Linked DNA regions of Cricetulus griseus. The protein of the gene in region 1 interacts with the protein of each later gene in a biochemical or structural test. Links are inferred from orthologs where the notes say so. Each region holds a gene or a part of one and is shown on either strand. Other genes may lie near its edges.

What was found.
Region 2: the proteins of Rdx (region 1) and Arhgdia form a complex in vitro, tested with the Homo sapiens proteins (2 studies listed by BioGRID and IntAct). The link is inferred for Cricetulus griseus from reciprocal best matches to the Homo sapiens genes RDX and ARHGDIA.

Annotation. Positions count from the first base shown.
Region 1 is NC_048597.1:163,762,223-163,766,029, forward strand, and holds part of Rdx (radixin), read left to right. Parts: intron 1-1,566; coding exon 1,567-1,662; intron 1,663-2,138; coding exon 2,139-2,413; intron 2,414-3,705; coding exon 3,706-3,789; intron 3,790-3,807. UniProt on the Homo sapiens protein: Probably plays a crucial role in the binding of the barbed end of actin filaments to the plasma membrane.
Region 2 is NC_048600.1:133,068,041-133,072,404, forward strand, and holds Arhgdia (rho GDP-dissociation inhibitor 1), read right to left. Parts: upstream 2,940-4,364; 5' UTR 2,805-2,939; intron 2,241-2,804; exon of another isoform or gene 2,092-2,240; intron 1,585-2,091; 5' UTR 1,563-1,584; coding exon 1,373-1,562; intron 1,256-1,372; coding exon 1,172-1,255; intron 952-1,171; coding exon 875-951; intron 789-874; coding exon 725-788; intron 634-724; coding exon 434-633; 3' UTR 349-433; downstream 1-348. UniProt on the Homo sapiens protein: Controls Rho proteins homeostasis. Regulates the GDP/GTP exchange reaction of the Rho proteins by inhibiting the dissociation of GDP from them, and the subsequent binding of GTP to them.

The DNA.
Region 1 (3,807 bases):
TGGAGAAGTGCCTCAATGCTTATGAGCCCTAGTTGCTCTAACAGAGGACCCAGGTTTGAGTCCCAACACCCACATGGCTGTTTACAACTGTCTGTAACTCCAGTTCCCAGGGTATTGGACAGTCTCTTCTGACCTCTGTGGAATCAGCACACATGTGATGTAAAGACACATGCAGAAAAACACCCACATGTAAAATGAAATTAATAAATGAAAAAAATTGTTTAAGTTAGCCAAAAATGCTTTCTGCTTAAATGAAGTTAAATCTTTTGTATTAAAAAAAAAATAGTATAATGTGGTGGTATCCTGGTAGGTATTCTGATTCTGCCACTTTATTCCAGTCCTTAGAATGCTCATCACAGATTAGTGTTCATTTGCAACACAGTTCTCACCTCAAAGAGAATAAGTTTATTTTGAGCCCTTTAGGAACACATACACAGGTTGATTTGACTACATGGTTCTGTGGATTCCTGCAGTCACAGAACAAGAAAGAAGCATATAACATTCACCACTCTGGTGGAGACAGTAGGCAAATGGATTACAGCAATAGGGAAGAACTCCACTGTATGTTTCAGATGTTATCTGATGACATACTTAGCTTAGGGTTAGTAGAAGCTGGTGATCTGCTAAACTAACAGAGTCTGAAGGTGGTTTCTTGTTGTTTTGTCCTTTAAACTAGATTGTTGAAAGGATGTTAGGTCAGATAAGGACGAGCACAATGAATGGCAGTGACAAAGACCAAAGATAACAACAGGATAATTTGTGCATCTGTAACATTTCAACTCTCCATGCTTAGTCTTGTAAAATTTCCGCGCTTAGTCTTGTGCAATTTCAACATAGTGTGGCTTTTTCCTGGGAACTTTCCACTAGTCATTCTATCAGAAGACATGGATTTCAAGATGAATAAAATAATATCACTCTGTCCTTATGTGTTAAGACACATAAAAAGACACACTGTAACCTAGTTGATACAGGGAACAAATGGATAATTTCAGTTCTATGATAGAAGAGATTTTATTCACATAAAGAATGTTAGTTGATCTGGGACTTAAATAAAAAATTATTCAATTGGTGATGCAGAAGTATTGTAGGCAGAAGGAAAAGCATGAGCAACAATGTAGAATGGTGAAACTTAGGCATGGTCCAAGAATTGTTTCAGTGAAGGTAGAGTATTGAAGGCACTAGACTCTGTCACCAGAGTGAAGTGCTTTGCCCTAGGTACCGGTGGGACACTTGGAGGGAATCAAATAGGAATATAGGCTTGCCCCATCTGTGCTTCTATCTTTCACACTGTTCTTTCATTTATTGAGGCTGTGATGTGAGCCAAGCAAATGAAGATAGAAAACAGAGTCAAGAAAGAAGATAGAAGTGGCATAACAGGATTGAGAATAAAAAGAACCTGAATTGATGTTTTCAGAAATGTTCTTTGAACATGTCAAAAAGAAAAGAGTGTGTTAAAGGAAAACCCTTTTCTGTGGCACTTGTACTTGTGTAGTTTTGTCCTTGTGGTCTGTAGTGTTGAATGTCATCTGATCATTGTGTGAATGTTGAACTGAATTTGTTTTGTAGGTTGTAAAAACAGTTGGTTTACGTGAGGTCTGGTTTTTTGGGCTGCAGTATGTAGACAGCAAAGGATATTCTACTTGGCTCAAACTTAATAAAAAGGTAAGATGTATATAGTAACATTAAATTAATTTGATGTTTGTTAATCAGTGCTGAAAAAGCATTAGCAGGGTCTGACTAAGTCCAGGCCTCCTTTTGCAGTTTTCTTTTGATCATTACTCAGCCTTTTAATTCATTGAAGAATCTCGAACATTTCTACACACACACTGTGTGAACCAATGCTTGTCAGAAATAGAACTTTGAAGCAAGTGTTAACATGCATTAAAAACTAGCCCGCCAGCTGTGAATGTCTGCAGGATGAGCTCCAGTACACGAAGATGTTTTCATTCTGGCTCTTGACTGGGCTCCCAGAGCTGCTGGCAGCCTTAGGACCACACACAGGAACTTCAGCACATGCATTTGTTTACAGACTGGTATATAGCATTACTATCCACTTTCTTCAAAAAAGAATTTGATGTAAATATATTCATTTACAGTGAATTAAGTTTTGTTGATTATACTTGAAATTACTATTCTAGGTGACACAGCAAGATGTTAAAAAAGAAAATCCTTTACAGTTCAAGTTTAGAGCTAAATTCTTTCCTGAAGATGTTTCTGAGGAATTGATTCAAGAAATAACACAGAGACTTTTCTTCTTGCAAGTTAAAGAAGCCATCTTAAATGATGAGATATATTGCCCACCAGAAACTGCAGTTCTTTTGGCTTCATATGCTGTCCAAGCCAAGTATGGAGATTATAATAAAGAGATTCACAAACCAGGATACCTGGCTAATGACAGACTCCTACCACAGCGGTAAGTAAAGTATGCCTTTATTTAATATTCTCTAAAGTTATATTCCAGAAGCATATGCTAAATTTCTTTTTAAAAGTCTTTTAAGTTGCCAGGTGGATCTTAGACTGTTTTTTTTTTTTTTTTTTTTTTAAATCATGACTTAGTCATAGCACAGATTTATACCTGTTCCACTGTAGTCACATCTGTAGGATGTGCAGCAAAAGGAGATTATGGTTTGGGCTTGAGGAAAGGATATGAATTATTGTTTGTAAACATTGGAACACATGCAGGTAGATGCATAGTAAACACTGTTGCCTAGTAGAGGGCAAGAGCTGTTTCTTCCATAGAATGAAGTTTTGGTTTAGTGTGCAGTGCAGTCCCACCTTTACAACACTCAAAGCAACCCTGCATTAGGAACAAATAACTGGAGAATGAGGTTTGGGAACTGAATCTAATCTGCTCTTTGCTAGTTACACAACCTTAGATTTGTAATCTTTAAGGATCCACCATAAACAGAGGTGGTTAATTTTTCTGTGGCTGAAAGAGAATTCTAATCAGTCTATGGTGTTTGTAGTATATTATGAATATATTGCTTTTGCTGCTTTGGTGTTGAATAGAAAAATATGAATAATCAGTTCACAGTTAAGTAAGAACATTGGCAGAATACAGATGAAACACAAAGGTTACTAGAGGACAGGTGTATGGTGTGGACATAGGGTTTAGTGTGGAGTACTTGAGCACGTTGGTCCTTGAACACTGACTTTAAATTCAAAATTGGCCTGCCTCAGTGTCTTAAGTACTGGGATATAGGTATTTACCACCATGCTTGGCTTAATATATGTTTTCTTTCTTAGTAAAAAGTATTATCTGCCTAAAATGACAATGTTATATTTAGCCATATTTATATTTATATTTTCCTGTCTGTTCTTAATTTTCTGTTAATGATGAGATTTTTTTCTTCAATCCAGAGTATGATTTGTTTGAAACATTTGAGTTCTTTTAAACTATATAATGCCCATTTTAAAGCATGAATTAAAGTAATTTAAGCTATCTAAAACTTTGTTTTAGCTTCCCTTAGTAACATCTTCTATGACTTCATTATTCAGCCAGGATACTGACCTTTGATATAGCCCCATGACATTGTTTTGTTCTGTTTTACATTCTCAGTTGTGTTTTTAGTTCTATGTGGTTTTAACATGTGCACTGATTTATGTGATATGTATCTTAGTCATGTTATGAAAGAACTCCATAGACTTTGAAAAGACCTGGATTTTTTTAAATCAAAGTCATTAACTACATTTTTTTCTTTTTAGTGTTTTGGAACAACACAAACTGACAAAAGAACAGTGGGAGGAGAGAATACAAAACTGGCATGAAGAACACAGAGGAATGCTAAGGTATCTGGGAAACTAGTT
Region 2 (4,364 bases), on another chromosome or scaffold:
ACTGACAGTGATGGATGACCTGGCCAGGGGGGGTGGTGCTTAGAGGACACAACCCAGCCCTTCCCCCAGGCCCAGCATTCTAGCTAGCTCAGCTGGGGCAGAGACAAGGTGGGCTGGGCAACCCAGACAGTGTTCCATTCCATTCTAGAAGCCAGGGCCTGAGGAAGGGACGACAGAGGAAACCTGGGGGACACAGCAGATTGGAGGCCTGGGCTGAAACCCCTCCCCCACTGCACAGGCAGAAGCAGCAATGTGACAACACTGGAGACCACAGGGGCCTGCAGGCAGGAGGTGGAGGAGGGGCAGACAGAAGAGGGGAGGAATGGTGAGGGAGGGTCCTGTCAGCACTTTGGTTTGGGGTGGGTAGGGGTTGGGGGTGGGGCATGTCGGTCCTTCTGTCTGTCCGCCGCCCTGCCCGCCTCCCAGCTGGAGCTCAGTCCTTCCACTCCTTTTTGATGGTGAGGTTCCATTCCCAGGACAGGTGGTCCGTCTTGTCATCGTCTGTGAATCGGGACTTGATGTTGTAGCTGCCCCGAGCGAGCATGCCTTTGGGGGCCTCTTCCATGGGTGTCAGGAACTCATACTCCTCAGCCCGGGGCCCATAGCTCCCGACCATGTAGTCGGTCTTGTCGACTGTGGTGTGGACAGGAAAGGCATGGTTAGTGGCCACGCAAGCCCCTCCCGGGACCCACAGGCTTCCCACTCTATCGGTACGACCACTTACTTTTGACCCCTTTCCTGTATGTGTGCTGGATGTACTTCATGCCTGACACGATCTCTCTGTTCACCTGTGGGGACACAGAGCAAGGGTCAGCCGGCCCCCCAGTGCTGATGCTCTGCCCCTCTGCCAGGCCTCTCCAATCCTCCACCTTACCCGGAAAGAGATTTTTATCCGGTACTCCACACCTTCCTTCAACACAAACGACTGTTTCTTGAAGCTCTCCAGATCACCTGTATGGGGAGGAGGCACAGCCAATTGCCTGGAGGCTTTCCATCCTGCCCCCACGTTCCCTTTCCACAGCCCCTTCCGTGACACAAAGCAGGGCCTTGGAGAGCACCTAGCTGCACTTTCCCCCCTGCCCCACCAGAGGGCACCAGTGCAGAAAATTATTTTTAGGGGCAGCGGCTGGATGCCAGCTGGCCCCACCCAGGGACTCCAAAACCCACTCACCTGTCAGGTCCAGTTCCAGAGGGCCCGGGGACGTGCTGCACACCAAGGTCAGGCGGGTCACAATGACATTGGGGACATTGGGGTCTGGAGAGCAAGAGTCATGAATCAAGAGCTCCATTCCTTAGATTTTTTTTAACTCCCTGGAAGGAGGGGGGCAGACTGGAAAGGGGGTGGTGACAGGGTCAGGTGACATCCACCTACCTGCAGAGACAGCCACTCGGCCCAGCAGGGCCTCCTTATACTTTCGAAGGCTCTCATCATCCTTGTCCAGTTCCTGGATCTCCTGGATGCTCTTCTGGGCTGGGGGCTTGTAGTTGACAGAGTGCTCATCCTCCTCATTCTCGGCCGCGATCTGCGCAAGCTGCTCAGCGGTGGGCTCCTGTTCTGCCATGCTCACCTCTAACCTGGGATACCTGTGGGTGGGCAGCGAGCAGAGCGGTGACAGCCCGGAGGCATTGCAACCTAGAGGGACCCTGACACCTGCCGGGAAATGATGGAGGTAGCCACGCCAGGGCAACTTTTAGAGGAGATAGGAGGCGCTGCCACTGCCCAACTAACTCAAGAGGCTCGTTTGAGAGGGCTACACCCCAGGCACACCATGAAGCCACAAAATGGGGACCACAGCCCGTTCCTCAGAGAAGCAGAACAGCTTTCCTCCCCATGAAGAATGAGTAGCCTCCTGACCAAACGGAACTGGGAGAAGCAACGTTAAACCACGTGGGTCCTGCTGCTGCCCCTAGATGCCCGGGATCTAACCCAAAGACACTCTCACTGGGTCACGGGGAGAAGTTCTCTGAAACGGGGATGCTCTGTGTCCTAGCCACGTGCAGGACAAGGGTCTGTTCCTTCCTGCCGGTGGAATACCGTCCTAAGCTCAACTGCGTGGCGACCAAATGAGACGGTAAATATGCAAGCCCGACCTCCCTTGTGAGGGGTCCGCGAACGCAGAGTGGGAGCTGGTGCACCGGTTGCAAAATAAATCTCAGGAGCCCATTGCTGGACCCTGGTCCTAAAGCGTCTGTGGCGGTGCGGAACCACGCCGGGACGGAAGCGCCTCGGTGCCTTTCAGTTCCGCAGATCCCCACCCGTCCCCCAGACACCCACTCGAGCCCTGCAGGCGATGCGCGGCGGTCGGGGCAGCCGCCGCCCCTCTGGGAGGCGTGCGCCAGAGACTCGGGGGGAGCGCCGGCCCGACACCCGGAGGGTCCCGGAGGCCCCGCCCGACGCGGCCAAGCGTGGCCGCGGGCGACAGCATCCAGGGCGCGGCCCGCGCTTCCGCAGGGCCCGCAATCCGGGAGGGCGGGGGGGGCCGCGCGGCGGGAGCGGCAGGCCGGGCGGGCCCCAGGCCGGACCCCGCCCGCGCGGCCGGGAAAGGGCGCCCCCGCCCCCGACCCGCACCGGGACCCGGACCCGGGACCGGGACGCGGCGCCCAGGCCCGGGCAGCGGCGGCGCTTCGGGCAGGACCTAGAAGGCGCCCGGCCCGCCCGCTGCCGTGACCGCGCCCGCCGCCCGCGCTCGCCCGGGGCCCGCCGCACGCCCGCCCGCCCGCCGGCCCGCGAGCGCCGGGGTCGCCGCACAAAGCCAGCCCCCTCCCCTCGCGCGCCGCCCCGCGCCAGGCAGCGCGCCACTCACCGGAGGCTCGACCGTCGCTCTCGCGCTCCCTCCCGCACCAAGTGACGAACGTCGTCCGCCGCCCGCCGCCCGGACGGTCACTTCCGGGGTCACAAGACTTCCGCTCTCGCGGGCGTGCGGGCGGGGGGCGCCGTGCGCATGCGCCGGCAGGGGGCGCCGGTCGGCGCCGCCGCCATTTTGCGGCCGGCCTCGTGGGCGCGTCGCGCGTGGGCCGGCGGCGTCGCGCGGGGCATCGAGGGGCGTCCGCGGCGCGTGTGGGCCGAGGCCCGGGCCCTTGGGCTCCGGGGCGGCCGCTCTGCCGCCCGGGTTCCGCGGCCGCCGCGCCCGGGCCTCGTCCCCCATTGTCCCTGCAACGCAGAGATGGCAGCGCCGCACGCACGCACGCACGCACGCACGCTCGCGCCGCCGGGCGCGTGGCTTCGCGGGCCGTGGCCCTCTGGGGTCCCCACGAGTTCCCCTCGCCGCGCCCCGCGGGGCCGGCTCACCCCGAGACGGGCAGGAGCCTCCGCAGGGACGAGAGCCAGCACCGCTGCCGCCCTGGGCGTCCGCCACCGCGCTGAAAAGATGACTGGAGGGAAACAGTCGCCCGCCGTTCATCCGCCACGTTTACGGCCTCGTTACGTCACGCGAGCACTTGTTCCCCTGGCCACGCATCCCCAACTCTGAAGCAAGCCAGGTGTCCTTTCAAGCGTAACCGTTTCATGCACTGTTTTCTTCGTCCGAGGAAGATGGCTCCGCAGTGTCCTCTCCCTGCTGCTCAGTGGCAAACTACTGCAAAACCAAACGCTGTCACCACTTGACTGTCCCCACTCTTCCTCTGTGATGGAGTCCGCTTGCCACACACGCACGCACACCACACACAGACACACACAGACACGCACACCACACACACGCACGCACACCACACACAGACAGACACACACACACAGAGACACACACACAGACACACACGCACACACCACACACACAGAGACACACGCACACACGCACAGACATGCACGCACACCACACACACACACAGACACACACACACACAGAGACACACACACAGACACACACACACAGACAGAGACACACACACACAGAGACACACACACAGACACACACGCACGCACACACACACCACACACACACCCTCACAGAGACACACACGCACACACGCACAGACATGCACGCACACCACACACAGACACACACACACACACACACACAGACATGCACGCACACCACACACACACACACAGACACACACACAGAGACACACGCACAGACATGCACGCACACCACACACACAGACACACACACACACAGAGACACACACGCACAGACATGCACGCACACCACACACAGACACACACACACAGACACACACAGACACACACACAGAGACACACACAGAGAGACACACGCACGCAAACACGCCCAGTGAGTCAAGCTAGCTTTTCAGGAGGCTCGAAGTCCTGCACCCAGTGGGCCTAGTTTATTGAACTCTGACCCACCCACAACTCCTTAGTTTGAAGCACTTGGCTCCAAGTGCAAATCTTCCAAAGCGGCTTCTCT